Rhinolophus ferrumequinum: one gene and its partner. The protein of the gene in region 1 purifies or fractionates together with the protein of each later gene. This does not show direct contact. Links are inferred from orthologs where the notes say so. Each region holds a gene or a part of one and is shown on either strand. Other genes may lie near its edges. The genes, in order: NECAP2 and AP2S1.

Region 1 (7,687 bases):
TCTGGACAAGAAGGGGAAGAGCCCAACCCTAGCAGAAAGGCATGGAATCTGAGGACAGACTTGAGGGGGGTGGGTGGCCAATATAGACTGTGCCCCCTTTTCAGGACACTTGGTTCCCTTTTTTTTCACAGCTTTATCGAGATTTAATTCACATACCATACAACTCACCCATTTAAAGTATACAATTCAATGGCTTTTCGTATATTCAGAGAATTTTACAATCACCACCCTTAGCACATTTTTTGTCACCCCGAAAAGAAAGCCCACACCGCTTAGCCATCCCCTCATCTCACGTACCCCACCCCCCGCCCGAGGCAACCACCAATCTACTTTCTGTCTCATAGATTTGCCTATGCTGGACATTTCATGTAAATGGAATCATACACTATGTGGTCCGTGGTGACTGGCTTCTTTCATTTAGCAAAGTGTTTTCAAGGCTCATCCATGTTGTAGCTTGTATCAGCCCTTCATTCCTTTTTATGGCCCATATACCACATTTTGTATATCCATTCATCAGTTGCTAGACATTTGAGTTGTTTCCACTTATTGGCTATTATGAATAATGCTTCTATGAATATTTGTGTACAAATTTTTGTGTGAACATGTTTTCATTTCTCTTGTACATATATACGAGCAGTGGACTTGCTGGGTCATATGGTAACTCTATGTTTAGCCTCTTGAGTAATTACCAGACTGTTTTTCAAAGTGGCTGCATCATTTTACATTCCTCCAAGCAGTGTATGAGGGTTCCAATTTTTCCACATTCTCACCAAGACTTGTTATTATCCAACTTTTAAAAATAATTCCAGCCATCCTAGAATTATGTGTTCATGTGAAGTGGTATCTCACTGTGGTTTTAATTTGCATTTCCCTAATGACTAATGGTGTTGAGCATCTTTTCATGTGCTTCTTGCCATTTGTATATCTTCCTTGGAAAAATGTCTATTCAGGTCCGTGGTCCATATATAAATTGGGTATTTGTCTTTTTATTATTGAATGGTAAGTGTTCTTTGTATATTCTAGATGCAAGTCTTTTGTCAGATACATAATTTGCAATATTTTCCTCACGTTATGTGAATTGTATTTTCCATTTTTTGTCCTTTGAAACACAAAAGTTTTCAATTTTGTTAAAGTCCCATTTATCTACTTTTTCTTTTGCTTTTTTTTTTGCTGCTTATGTTTTTAGTGTCATATTTAAGAATCCATTAGATTCTTTTTATTATAACATAAATCCAAGGTCATGGAGATTTATGTCTATGCTTTATTCTAAGAGTTGTATAGTTTTAGCTTTTACATTTAGGTCTATTATCCATTTTGAATTAATTTTTGTATATGGTGTGAGGTAGGGGTCCAACTTCATTCTTTTGCATGTGGATATATCATCCGAGAATCATTTGAAAAGACTATTCTTTCTCTACTGAATTTTCTTAGCATGTTTACGAACAGTCAACTGACTGTAAATGTGAGAGTTTATTTCTGGATTCTCAATTCTGTTCCATTGATCTATATGTCTATCCTTATGCCAGTAATACATTGTCTTGATTAATGTAGCTCATTAGTAAGTTTTGAGATCTGGAAGTGTAAGTCCTCTAACTTTGTTCTTTTTTTTTTTAATTAAAGTATAATTGACATACAATATAATATTTGTTTCAGGTAATTCGACATATTTCCTATGATGTGATCACAATAAGTCTAGTAACCATCTGTCACCATACAAAGTTATTAAAATAATATTTATTATTTCCCCTATGCTGTACATTACATCTATGAGAATTTTTTTCTTAATAACTGGAGGTTTGTACCCCTTATGCCCCTTCACTCTTTTCACCCATACCCCACCCCCCTCCCCTCTGGCAACCATCAGTTTGTTCTCTGTATCTATGAGTCTGTTTCTGTTTTATTTGTTTGTTTTGTATTTTCAGATTCCACACGTCAACTTTGTTCTTTTTCAAAATTGTTTTGGTATCGAGTGCTCTTTTATAAGTATTTTCCCCATCTGAGAAATGGGTGAACTTCTCTTATAAAATGTTTGTGATGGTAGGAAAACACAACAGAGAAAGATGATAAGTGACCTATAATATATATGTCTGGAGGCCACCAAGGAAAACTGCTCACATCCAACCCCCGCTCCCCTTGGCCCTGGACCAACAAGAAAACAGCTGGATAAATCACAGAGAGATTTTACAACCCCGCTCACCTCCTCACACATAAGATGGGCTCTCTCTGAGCCTATTCTCTGCCTGTTGGGTTGAATTGAATTCTTTTGGTAAATACTGTAGTTAACCTGGGAGTAGATGGTAGGTTCAGTTATTCTTAGCAACAGAGGTTTAGGAACGCATTTAGGGAATGTCCAGCCATGTGGTTGGGTTTTGAGAATAAGGCAAGGGGACTGTCTGACCTCCAACTAGAAGGCACTGTAGTTTCCCTGGGCTTGTCACTGTTTCAGTGGCCTTCATTACACAATGAGGATAACAATCCTTGCCCTGTCTACCTCACAGGGATTATTGTCAAGGTAACCTCTTCCAGAGAGCCATCCCTGACTGCCCCCAGGTTGCGTGGGTTTCTCTTCTCTTCACTCCTACAGGCCCCTGTGAGTTTCCTCCATCATAACACTTTTCACTCTGCATTGCAAATGACTCTTTTCTTCTCTGTCTCCTCTCTGGTCTGTGAGCTCCATGAAGGCAGAGCAGGGTCAGCCTTATCTCTGTGGCCCTAGCACCCAGCACCTGGCATCTGGTAGGTACTCACTCAATGCCCATCTTTGTTAGACTGAACTGAACTGAAAGTGCTCTGAACACATTGTAAGGCCTGGCTGCCCCTGGCACAGAGTGATGATCCCCTTTGAGGCTGATGAGAGAAAGGTTTTCTACCTGTGGCAGCCACATGGCAAGGCCCAGAAGAGTCACTGAGGGTCACCTCCCCACTGCTTGGCTTCCAGAGCGGAAATGATGGAACTCGGTGCTGATGGTAGACGCTACCCCAAAGCTGGTCCTAGGTGCTCTCCAAGATGGAAGTTTCTCTGACTCAGTGGGTCCAGGTGCTTTCCTTCTGTGATACTTGATTTTCCCATGTTGTTCAGCACATGTAAGGAATCAGAGTATGAAAGAGAAAACACAGTGGCCCATTCCCAAATTGCCCCTTGGCCTTGGAATGCAGCCAACTGAAAACACACACTGTCGGGGACAGAGTCCCAGAGAGCAGTTTCCAGGCTCTGGGGCTTGCGTGGGGAGGTGCTGGCTCGGGTAGTGAATGACCATCAACTGTGATTAGTTGGCCATCAGCTGTAACCGGTTAGCCAATTGGCTACTGATGTAACTGCAGGGCTGCGTTGATTGGTTGGTTGGTTGGCAGGCAGAGAAGTGAATGGCGGACTGTGGGTCATGTGGCTACTACTGCGTGTGTCTTCCCAGCCTTCAGTGAGACTATAGTGGCATGACTCCCCTACCTATGGCTCCGTGGGTGTTCCTTCTTGGCCTCACCATATCCTGCGTTCTTATGTGGGGAGCGGGACCAGAGGCCCCGCAGGCTGCCCCGCACGACAGACACACACACACACACACACACACACACACACACTCACTCATTTACTCTTTCACTGCGCACTTACTCTGTGCCAGGACACTAAATACAGCAGTCTACAGGTGGCAGGGACGGGGCCCTACATTGAAGCTCACAGTCTAGTGGGAAAACAGACATATAAACTGACCGGTGAGAATATAAGGGGATAAGATTTGTCTGTGTGGGAGTGTGTCCTCACCTCCGTCTTAATACCTCTCCCCCTCTATCATCTAAGGGGAGTTCTCTCTTTGCCCCTCCAGGACTTTAGCAAGATGAGAGTCAGGATCAAAGAACTGGGAGGAAGAAATATCATTTTCTGGGTCATTTCTCAATTTCTTCTTTAATGTGCAGAAGCAGGGTAATGAGCAAAGTTGAAATTAGAAGTTATGCCAATTCACATAATGAGAGATTAACTTCACACTCTCCTGGATGACTATGACCAAAGATAGAAAATAAGTATTGGTGAAGTTGAGGAAAATTGGAACCCTTGTTCGCCGCTGGTGAGAATGTAAAACGGTGGAGCCGGAGTGGAAAACAGTTTGGGGGCTTCTCCTAAAGCTAAACATAGAAATGTCATATGGCTCAGCGAGTCCACTCCTAGATACATACTCAAGAGAACTGAAAACAAGAACTCGAACAGGTATTTGTACTCTGCCGCGCACGAGGCCTTGTGGGAGGGGGAAGCCCCTGGAGAACCCCAGTCCTCATCAGGGGGATTCCTGGGTCCGACCGCCGTATGTCTTGAGCCAGGGCTTCCAGCAGAGGGCGCCGGAGCGATGTGGTGCTGAGGTCCCGAGCTGCCGCTCTAGCCTGACCCAGGTCATAGAGTCGCGCCGCTTCCGGCACCCCCGCTCCAGGCTGGGAAGGAGCCGGAAGTCTGGCGGGCTCCGGGCATCGCAATGGAGGAGGGCGAGTACGAGTCGGTGCTCTGCGTCAAGCCAGAAGTGCACATCTACCGCATCCCGCCACGGGCCACCAACCGTGGCTACAGGTGACTGCCCACCACCGGGCCAGGCTAGCCCCAACTTAATCCCTTCCCCGCCGCCCGGCACGCCCACTGTTGGGAGCTGAGGATGGTTACGGCCAGCTTAGGGGCGAGGGGAGGTAATGCTCAGGTTTCTCTCGGTTCTTGGTCAGAGCTGGAAGGGAAGCCCAGAATTTTGGCCGTCTAGGTCCAACGCACCGAGCTCCCGGCTGCGGGAAAGGCGTTAAAGCCGTGTCTAGTGTTTGGGGACCCGGTGGGCTGCCAGGTACCCTAAACGTGGTCGGGAGTGGTGGTGTCACAGACTTTTTTCTTTCAGAGCTAGCTGGTGGCCTTGAAGGGATCCTTGAAAAGCCTTAGGGGGGAGGGGACCTATCACAGGCGGAAATCCCGGAGGGGAAGGAAGGGAGCCCAGAACCGGCCGAAAGGACAGGTCCCGGGGGCTTTTAAGCTGATGGCGGAAGCCCAGGGAGCCCTCCCTGTCCAGCTCCCTTCGTGTGAACTTGATACTTTATCGCTGCCTGTGGCAGTTGGGAGGAATCCATCCACACTTCTCTGGAGAAATGTTCCTGAGACGAATAAACACATATACTCGTAGACTATCTGGAAGGGAACGGGGGTTGAAAGGGGCTTACTTTCACTGTGTACCTTTTTGTACTGTTTGCGTTTTGTTACCGTGTGTATGTATTACTTATCAAAAGAAGACGAAAAATAATTAAAAGAAAAAAAGATTACCTGATACAGACAACCTGGCCTATGGCTATTTTGTGCCACTGGGCGGGGGGTGGGGGTGGGGTGGGGGGTGGTAAGGCGGGGGTGTGCTCTTGAAGGGAGTATTTGTTCAAGTTATTTGGAAATACAGGACTGGCCTGCAAAAGGATGGTGGAGTGTGGACAGATCTCTCCTCTTGTTAATTTCCAGTTGTGTTAATGGGATCATAGCTGATTGGGTAATGAACCCATATTTTGTTGAACACCTGCTGCATCCGTAACATGATTTAAAAATAGCACAAAAATAGTATAAAAGTAGCAAAAACACATTTGCTTTCTGTCATCACTGGAGATGGACCACCAAACCAGTGATGGTTGTCTACCCTCATCCCCTTTCAGTAGGATGGGTTTGACGCCTCTTGGACCCCCAGAGAGCAAGATTACCAAGTGTCAGGACTGGCCGGTTTGGCATAGAGGAAGCTGTCCTTCAATCTCAGAGCTCAGAGTCTAAGGCCTGTCGCCCCAGTAAGAGGAACTGAAACAGCCTGCTGACTTCTGACTTGTGAATTGAGAATCTGCATTTGGGTGGCCTTCCAAACAACCTACATCCACAGTTATAGTGTGTCCCATATGCTTGGGACTTCCAAGAAAAGCTTCTTGGAAACACCCAAAGTTCTTGCTATTAGGGGATTTTACTGAGCGGCTTCTTAGAACTAAAATGTGAAGTTACTGCTTTAAAAGAGCCAAAAGAGGGTATTGCAATAGGTCCATGGTTTCCTGGGTTCCTTTCTGCTTTTCTGCCTAGGATACCTTTGAGAATGTTTCTTAAACACCCGTTCACTTTTCTCGTGTACTGTTGCTCTCCTTTTCTCTGCTAATGATTGCTCCCCTCTCTGCTTTTCCTCCACGATGGTGTCAGTGGTCCCAAATGATCACTGACCACACCAGCCTAGCACTGTCTTCAACAAACAACAAGCCCCAGGAGCTGCTTCCTCTATAGAAATAAAACTGGAATTCCTACTTCAGAGAAGATCTCTAGACTCGTAATCTAGAACTGGGGTCAGCAAACGACGTTCCACTGTTTTTGTATGGCTCACAAGCTAAGACTGGTTTTTATGTTTTTAAGTGTTTGGAGAAATTTTTAAAGAAGACATTTCATGAAGTGAAAATTACATGAAATTCAAATTTTGGTTCATAGTTTCACTGACATACAGCCACACTCTGTAGAAACCATTCGTTTAAAATACTTAAAGCACCAACACACTTACGTACAGCCTTTGACTGCTCTCACTACAATGGCAGAGTGAGTGTTTGTGACAGATTGTGTCGCCGTTTTCAGAGAAGTTCGCCAGTCTCTAGCGCAAGCCTTCCACATGCCCTTCCCATCCTCATCCTCAGCATAGAAGGGAGCCTCCAGCAGAGGCTCAATGGTTTTTGTCCCCTTAGGGCTGCGGAGTGGCAGCTGGACCAGCCATCATGGAGTGGCCGGCTGCGGATCACTGCAAGAGGGCAGGTGGCCTACATCAAGCTGGAGGACAGGACCACAGGTAAAGGCAAGGGAAGTCTGTGTGTGTGGGGCTGAGGTGCCATGCCACTCTGTGAAGGGAGAGGCAGCCCTGGCCTGGCCAGGCCACTGCGGGGTCATGGGAACCTGTCCTGGAAATTAAAAACCCCAGTGTGTACCTTTAAGACCCCAGTGAACCATCCTCCCCACCTTTGGTTGTAGTAACCAGTATCCCCAGATGTTAAAGGCAGTATTTCCTGTCAAGCACTTTTTCTTTTGGAGGGCCCTTAAGAAAATACTAATTTTGGAGTCTAAGGAGAGGAGATCTGTAGGTTGGTCCCAAAAGGGAAGCCCCGGAGCTTGTCTTGAGACGAGCTGGGTGAAGACGCACAGCCCTCTGCTGTGGAGCTCTGGTTCTCACTCAGGAATTCTGTTTATCAGCTAAGTGGTAACTCCCCAGACTGACCACGCCCGTTAACTGAAAGAGCTGGAAACTGGCCGACTCAGCTTTTTCTTTGGTGAGATGAGCTAAGCTGGGCAGTGTTGGGGTCAGCCAGCAGACGCACGTTAGGGGAAATCTCTCCAGAAGTCCTGTGCCACCTGTGCCTCTGGGTGAGCTGCAGAGGGCAGCCCGGCCCCCAGAGCAGGGATTGGGCACAGTGCCTGCCCGGTGCAGCGCCTCGGCATTTGGTCATCTGTTTTTCTAATACGTAGAAATTATCCTTTGTGGGGTGGAATAAAGGGCAAAGATTCATAGGCAAATGAATTCTCAGCACTGCATCGTTTGTGTGTGAGCTGTGGGACCTTGGCCTCGTTTTTGTTGAAATGGGGACCCCATTTGTTTTTACTTCACCACGTTGGAAACCCATTCAATTGCTTTGTGAACTGCAGAGTAACCCAAAGCATTGATTGGTTGTGGAGCATGGCGGTGGC
Region 2 (7,770 bases), on another chromosome or scaffold:
CTGTCTTTTTTTTTTTTAATTTTTATTGGAGAACAGTGTGTTTTTCCAGGACTCATTAGCTCCATGTCAAGTCATTGTTTTCAATCTAGTTGTGGAGGGCACAGCTCACTGGCCTATGTGATAATCTAACCAGCAACCTTGTTAAGAGCACCGTGCTCTAACCAACTGAGTTAACCGGCTGCCCCTCTTGCCAAATTTTTTTTTTAATTTTTGTTGGGGAATATGGGGAGCAGTGTGTTTTTCCAGGACCTATCAGCTCCAAGTCAAGTTGTTGTTTTGTTTTGTTTTTCAATCTAATTGTGGAGGGCGCAGCTCAGCTCCAAGTCAAGTCATTTCACTCTAGTTGTGGAAGGTGTAGCTCACTGGCCCATGTGGGAATCAAACCGGCGACCTGGGTGTGATGAGCTCTGCGCTCTAACCAACTGAGCCATCCGGCCGCCTCTCTTTGCCCATTTTTTGATGAGTTGTTGAGTTGTAGTTCTTCATGTACTCTGGATAATAATCCCTTACCAGATATGTGTTTGCAAAGATTTTCTCCCATTCTCTGGCTTGTCTTGTCACTCTTGATAGTCCTTTGATGCAAAATTAAAGTTTTTAATTTTTATGTTCAATTTACATTTTTTGTTGTTGCTTATGCTTTTGGGATCACATAACTTTTAAAAGAAATATACTCTTTACTAACAATTGTCACCACAATAAACTTTAATTTAAAAGAAAAGAAATATATGACAGAAATTAAGTGGTCAAACTTAATATCACCAAGGATGAAACCAACCAACATCACATGCCCCCAGCCGGATACTCTAAGAAGGACACGGCATCACTTATGTGATATTCCTGACAAAAAATGTCAAACCTGGATCTAATCATGTAGAAACATGGACTCTTAGAAAATGCCAACCTCTTGAAATACTAACAAGACAAGGGAACTGTTCCAGATTTAATAAGGCTAAAGGAACGTGACAGTTAAATACAACCTATGATTCTGGATTCAATTGAACAGAAATCAGATTTGTGTACCAATTGTTCCAGATCCTGGAACAGAAAAAAAAATCTATAAGGAATATTACTGAGATGATCAGGGATATTTTTATATGGACCTATATTAGATAGTAGTGTAGTATTAATATTTTTCGCCTTTTAAAAAAGTGCTTATTTATGTCAATTACAGTTGATACTCAATATTATTTTATATTAGTTTCAGGTGTGTAGCACCTGAATGTTAAACATTTATATAGCTTATGCAATGATCCCTCGATTAGTCTAGTACCCACCTGGCAATATACATAGTTGTTGAGACATTATTGACCATATTCTCTATTGCTGTACTTTACATACCTGTGACTATTTTGTAACTACCAATTTGTACTGATTTTTTTATTAGTTTCAGGCGTACAAAGCAACATAATAGTTAGACATTTAAACCCCTCATAAAGTGATAACCCACCTTCCAAGCTACTACCCCTCTGACATCTTATATAGCTGTTATAATACCATCGACTTTCTTCTCTATGTTGTACTCCACATCCTGTGACTATATATACCTATATATTTAGTTATAGTTGACATTCATATTATCCTACTTCAGCTTCAGGTGTATAGCGCATTGGTCAGGCATCTACATAGTCTATGACGCGATCCCCTGATAAGTCCAGTGCCCATCTGACACCTTACATGATCTTTGCAACATTGTTGATTATATTCCCCATACTGTATTAACTACCAATTTGTATTTCTTAGTGCCTTCACCTTCTTCACCCTGCCCCCAACCCCATTCCCATCTATCACCCCTGACAGATCTAGTGCCTATCTGATGCCATACCTAGTTATTACAGTATTGTTAACTATATTCCTTATGCTATACCCTACATCGCCATGACTACTGTATAACAACCCATTGTACTTCTTAATCCCTTCCCCTTTCACCTGTCCTTAACCCCTCTCCCATCATAAAAAAGTCCCTCTAAGATTCCTTGTAATACTGGTTTGGTGGTGATGACCTCCTTCAGTTTCTTTCTTCTCTGGGGAGCTCCTTATCTGTCCCTCAATTCGAAATGACAGCCTTTGCTGGGTAGAAACAATCTTGGTTGTATGTTGTTGCTTTTTCATCACTTGGAGTATTTTTCTGCCACTCCCTTCTTGCCTGCAAAGTTTCTGTTGAGAAATCAGCTTGACAGTCTTATGGGGGGCTCCCTTATAGGTAATTAACTGCTTTTCTCTTGCTGCTTTAAGATTCTCTCTTTGTTTTCAATCTTTGGCATTTTAATTATGATGTGTCACGGTGTTGGCCTCTTTGGATTATCTTGTTTGTGACTCTCTGTGCTTCCTGGGCTTATATGTCCATTTCCTTCACCAGGTTAGGGAAGTTTTCTGTCATTATTTCTTCAAATAGGTTTTCAATTCCTTGCTGTCTCACTTCTCCTTCTGGTACCCCTATAATGTGACTGTTGGTACACTTGATATTGTCCTAGAGGCCCCTTAACCTCTCCTCAATTGTTTGGGTTCTTTTTTCTTTTCCTGTTCTGGTTGGGTGTTTTCTGCTACCTTATCTTCTACATTGCTGGTTGGATCCTCTACTTCATCTAATCTACTGTTGATTCCCTGTAATATAGTCTTTGTTTCCATTATTGTATCCTTTATTTCTGACTGTTTGTTCTTTTTTATGGTTTCCATCTCATTTTTATGAGATCACTGAGCATTCTTATAACCAGTGTTGGAACTCTGCGTCTGATAGATTGCTTATCTCCGTTTCACTTAGTTCTTTTGCTGGAGCTTTGTTCTGTTCTTTTGTTGGGACATGTTTCTTTGTCTCCCCATTTTGGCTGCCTCCCTGTGTTTGTTTCTATGTATTAGGTAGGGCTGTTACATCTTCCAATCTTAGTAGAGTGGCCTTATGTAGTAGGTGTGCTGTGGAGTTCAGTGCCACAGTCTTTCTGGTGATCTGAGCCACGCACTCCAGGTGAGTCCCTTGTTTGGGTTGTGTGTGCCCTCCTCGTGTAGTTGAGCCTTGGTTGATAATTGCACATCAATGTGAGGGACTGATTCTTAGGCTCACTGATTATGAGGATTGGCCTTGACTATAGTGGAAGAGCTGTTGGCAGGGGCTGATCCTACAGAGCAAGATCTGCCAGTGTAGTATTACTATTTAAATTTCCTGAATGTATCATTGTATGTTTATGGAGGAGACGTCTTTGTTCTTAAGAGGAATGTTGAAGCATGAAGCCTTTTGGGATGAAATAGCATGATATTTGCAACTCACTTAAAATGGTTCAAATAAATATAGAGAGAGTAAATGTGGCAAGATATCAACAATTAGTGAATCAAGATGAATAATACATTGGAGTTCATTGTGCTAATACTACAACTTTTTGTAGATATGAAAACTTTCTATGCAAAAAGTTGGAGAGATAAATAAAAAGAAAAATCAAATGACACACTGTATACGTGTCACTCTGCATCTCCCTTTGTTTCTTCAACAACATGTCCTAGGGATCGTCCAAGTCAATGCACAGAGATCTTGCTCACTCATCGTAACTCTCGTTGCATAATATTTTATGTGACTGCATGTGATTGAGTTTTCCTCTATTGATGCATATTTTGTCTCTTTCCAATTTTTCCCTATAACAAGCATGCTGTAATGACATGGCAAAGGAGAGAATCTTTCCAGGGTCCATACTCATACTAAAGTGCTGGGACTAGTCCTTTCCGTCTATTTCTGTGGAATGTCACCTCAGGCTCCAACCACCCAGGCTGTGAGATTCCTGGGGGCAGAGACAAAGTCTGTGCCCCTGCTTGAGCACTCTGCCTGCCTTGCCTTCCCCAGCCCCCACCTACGATAATCATTGCTTGGTTAATTTCCACTCATCTTCGGATCTCGGCTCAAATGCCACTCCCTCTGGGAGGTTTGTCCCTAAGTCTTCACCTAGACTAGGTGCCTCCGCTATAAGCAATTGTAGTAGTCAGGTTTCAGGATAGACTGCAATGATTCTAACCTGGTATTCATATCCCCTCCTACACTGGATAGGGCTGATTTGTGTACCTGTAGGACATTGCGGAAATAACAGGGTGTGACTTCTGACTCCCAAAATGCTCATATGCTACTGTCCGTCTTCCACAGAGAAACACTCAAGGTATTTTAAACAAAGCACTAAGTGAGCACCGAAAGACAGTTACATTTCTAGCTCCCCCAAACGCAGTTTCTTATTTAAAACTACTATTCCCAGCATGCCCTTCTTTCCTTGAAAGTGGTGCGGGGGCGGGGGGCGGGGGAAGGAAGGGTCTACTAGAACTACATTTCCCAGAATGTAACGCCCAACGTGCATTTCGGGAATTGTAGTCTTCTGAAGAAGTGCACCGACAACTCCCGGCATGCATTTGGAGCATGACCCGTCTGGTGGGAAACGGACAGGAGCGCGCCAGCATGTTGGAAGAATGATCGTGTCTTCCACTGGCCTGCCGCCCGAACGAGCAAACCCATTCTTGGGACTACAATTCCCAGCGGGAAGTGCGCGATAGGGCAAGAGGGTTCCTCTGCCGGAAGTCCGCTCTAGCCCTGGGTCCTCCAACTGCTTCCAGAGCCGGAGCCGCCCAGTCGCCGCGGGACCGGGCCAGCTGGGGTCCGGACGGGGGTCGCCATGGTAACGGGGCCGCGCTCACGCTGGGGACAGGAGGAGGGTGGGTCCACGTGCAGATACTGGAGGCTCGGCTGGGTACTGACAGTCGCCCCCCGCTGCTGTGGCAATGGTCTGGGCCGGGCGCGGGCTCTCGGGATTGGGACCGGTCACAGGCCAGAAAGGGGGGAACTGAATGGTAATTCTGGGCGCGGGGGGGTGTACCCGAGACTGGAGGCTAGGGACATTGAGATCAGGTGTCAAGGGGAGAGGGTTGTGCGGGTGGGAGGACATTGGTGATGATTGGGGGGCTTTGAAAACGGAGGCAACTGACAAAGCAGGGTCTCGGAGGTGGGGAGAAGGAATTGGAGGTGGGATGGAGGTGTCCTGAGATGAGGGCTCTCTAGGAGTGTAGCAGGAGCGTGGGAGAAGAATAAGAGACATAGGGATAGAGAGAAGGGGTCTCTAGAGGCAGGAAGCTGGCATTACAGGCGGGAGAGGGGGTGTTGAAAACGAGCGAGATACTGCTGATGAGAGATAATCCCAGGGGAAGAGACTGGACAGTGGAGACGGGAAGTAGACAACTGTAGGGAATGGGTTTAGAGTCGGGGAAAGTGCTGCAAAGGGGGAAGAAGGCTTGGAGGTAGGGAGTGGATACTAGAAATGAATGGGGCGCAATGGAACAGGTCTTTCCAAGGAGAGCTGAGTTGGGGGGGTCGGATTAGGCATGGAAATGAGAGATGGCGTTTGTGGAGCAAGGACGGGCCATTGGATTTAGCACCCGTCCCCGGGTATGGCTTTTGAACCATAAGAAAGGATTTCTTTGGGCAGGAAGTAGGGAAAAAGAGATGAATGGGGGGTGGTGTCAGAACAGCTTTGCCTCAGCTCCAATAGGTTTGCTTCCTGGTCTCCTTCCTGTATGCCCATATATCCCGGCTCTACCCCTAGGCTGTGGCTGCCTGAGGTGGGTCCCACCCACCTCCACCCCAAGCCCTTTCCCTTCCTGACCAGCACCCCTGCCCTGCTAGGAAGTGGTTTTCCCTAGCCTCAGCAGAAGGGATTCTGGAAGGAAAGTGCAATATCCTGTTCCCAGCCAGCTTGATTGGTTGGGGTTAGGGGAGAGAGTATATGGAGAAAGGCTTAGGAAAGAGAATGGTCTTTCATGAAAGGGTGGAGACTCCCACAAGGCAGGGGTAAGGGGGTTCAGAACAAAGCCATTGGACTCCCAGCTCTGCTTGCTGACTGTGAGACTTCTTCTCTGAGCCTCAGTTTCTTCATCTATAAAATGGGCATAAAGCATGCCTGTCTCAACCAGAACTGGGCTCAAAGGCAGCCTTCCTAGCTGGGCCATGATTTTCTCAAAGTCAAATGATGATGAATTATAATACGAAGAACTAATACTAACGAGTATATGTCACTTAGTATGGGCTAGTCACTATACTACACCCCTTATGTTTATTAAGCTGTGCAACGGTCTTATGAGGGAAGGACTCTCATTATGTCTGTTATACAGAAGGGGAAACTAAGGTCCAGAAAGGTTAAGTGGCTTCCCATGAACACAGTGAGCAGTGCCAAGATTCATTCAGACTCTAGAGTTTGTGTTCTTAATGTCCCTCAATCATAATAATAGCTAATTTTATTGAATGCTTGATAGGTAGTAGGCACCCTGCTAAGCAAGCACTCCTGGCATTAACTCCTTCAGTTTTCTTAGTAGCCCTGTGACGGTTGACCTGGCATTTTAGAATCATACAAACAATTTTCCTAGTAATCATAGTGGACACTGTGTATTATCTGAACCAGGCACTACTCTGGGTACTTCTCAGATGTTGTTTGTTCCTCATCACACCCTTATATGGCCCTATTTTTTAGGTGGATAAACTGAGGCACTAAGCAGTCAAGTCACTTAGGAAGCAGCAGATGCTTTGGAAAACAGTTTAGCAGTTCCTGGAAAAGTTACACGTAGAACCCAACAAGTCCACTCCTAGATGTCTACCCAAGAGAAATGAAAACATGTCCACATAAAAACGTATACACAAGTGATCTTAGCAGTATTCTCAGAATCACCAAAAAGTGGAAACAGCCCAAATGTCCATCAGCTGATGGAAAGATAAACCAAACGAGATTTATCCGTACAGTGGAATATTATGCAGCCATAAAAAGAAATGAAGTGCTGATATATACTACTACATGGATGAACCTTGAAAACATTATGCTGAGTGAAAGAAGCCAGGCACAAAAGGCCATATATGGTGTATTCCACTTATATGAAATGTCCAGAACAGGCAAATCCACAGAGACAGAGAGATTAGTGGTTGTTAGGGGCTGGGAGGAGGGAAAGTGACTGCTACTTAGTCGGGGTTTCTTTTTGGGGTGATGAAAATATTCTGGAATTAGATAGTGATGTTTTTTGCACAATTGTATGAATATATTAAAAACCACTTAACTGTACACATTTTAGGTGAATTTTATGGTATGTGAATTATATCTCAATTTTTAAAAAGTAAAAAGAAATAAAGAAGTTGGCATTACCGGACTCAGGCCAAAGAATGACACTCAGTTACTGGGTGCCTGCTATGTTATCAGCCACTGGACTCATTTTATAAACTTGTTTTGCCATTGGGGGAACTGAGGCGTAGAGGGGTGGATCTTTTGTCCAAGGTCAGGCAGACAAGAAGGGGTGCAGCCTTGGGACTCAGGGCCCTGGAGCTGAGTGGAGTTGACCACTTGGTGGAAGAGAAATCACTCTACAGAGGGTACTGGAGGGACCTGGGACGGGAGCACGTGGTCAGGTCGGCCTGGCTGGGCTCTGGGGAAGGCAGGCAGCAGGGAGGCTTGGACCCTATCTCCCTGGTGGCGATGGGTGGGGCTGTTGGGTGTAGCATTGGCCCTCCCTCCCTGCCGCTCTCACTTCCTCCTCCTGCTGCCCCCAGATCCGCTTCATCCTTATCCAGAACAGGGCGGGCAAGACGCGCCTGGCCAAGTGGTACATGCAATTTGATGATGATGAGAAACAGAAGTTGATCGAGGAAGTGCACGCTGTGGTCACTGTCCGAGATGCCAAACACACCAACTTTGTAGAGGTGATGCTCCCCCACCCACCCCATGCCTCCCACAATCCCCTGCTTCCTTTCCAGCCTCCTGCCCAACCTCTGATTGCAGT

The links.
Region 2: the proteins of NECAP2 (region 1) and AP2S1 purify together in Homo sapiens (affinity purification with mass spectrometry; 3 studies listed by BioGRID and IntAct, counting the BioPlex papers as one, with this or other methods). This does not show direct contact. The link is inferred for Rhinolophus ferrumequinum from reciprocal best matches to the Homo sapiens genes NECAP2 and AP2S1.

Annotation. Positions count from the first base shown.
Region 1 is NC_046292.1:11,052,522-11,060,208, forward strand, and holds the start of NECAP2 (adaptin ear-binding coat-associated protein 2), read left to right. Parts: upstream 1-4,404; 5' UTR 4,405-4,457; coding exon 4,458-4,549; intron 4,550-6,696; coding exon 6,697-6,797; intron 6,798-7,687. UniProt on the Homo sapiens protein: Involved in endocytosis.
Region 2 is NC_046298.1:42,935,355-42,943,124, reverse strand, and holds the start of AP2S1 (AP-2 complex subunit sigma), read left to right. Parts: upstream 1-4,438; 5' UTR 4,439-4,634; coding exon 4,635-4,637; intron 4,638-7,540; coding exon 7,541-7,690; intron 7,691-7,770. UniProt on the Homo sapiens protein: Component of the adaptor protein complex 2 (AP-2). Adaptor protein complexes function in protein transport via transport vesicles in different membrane traffic pathways.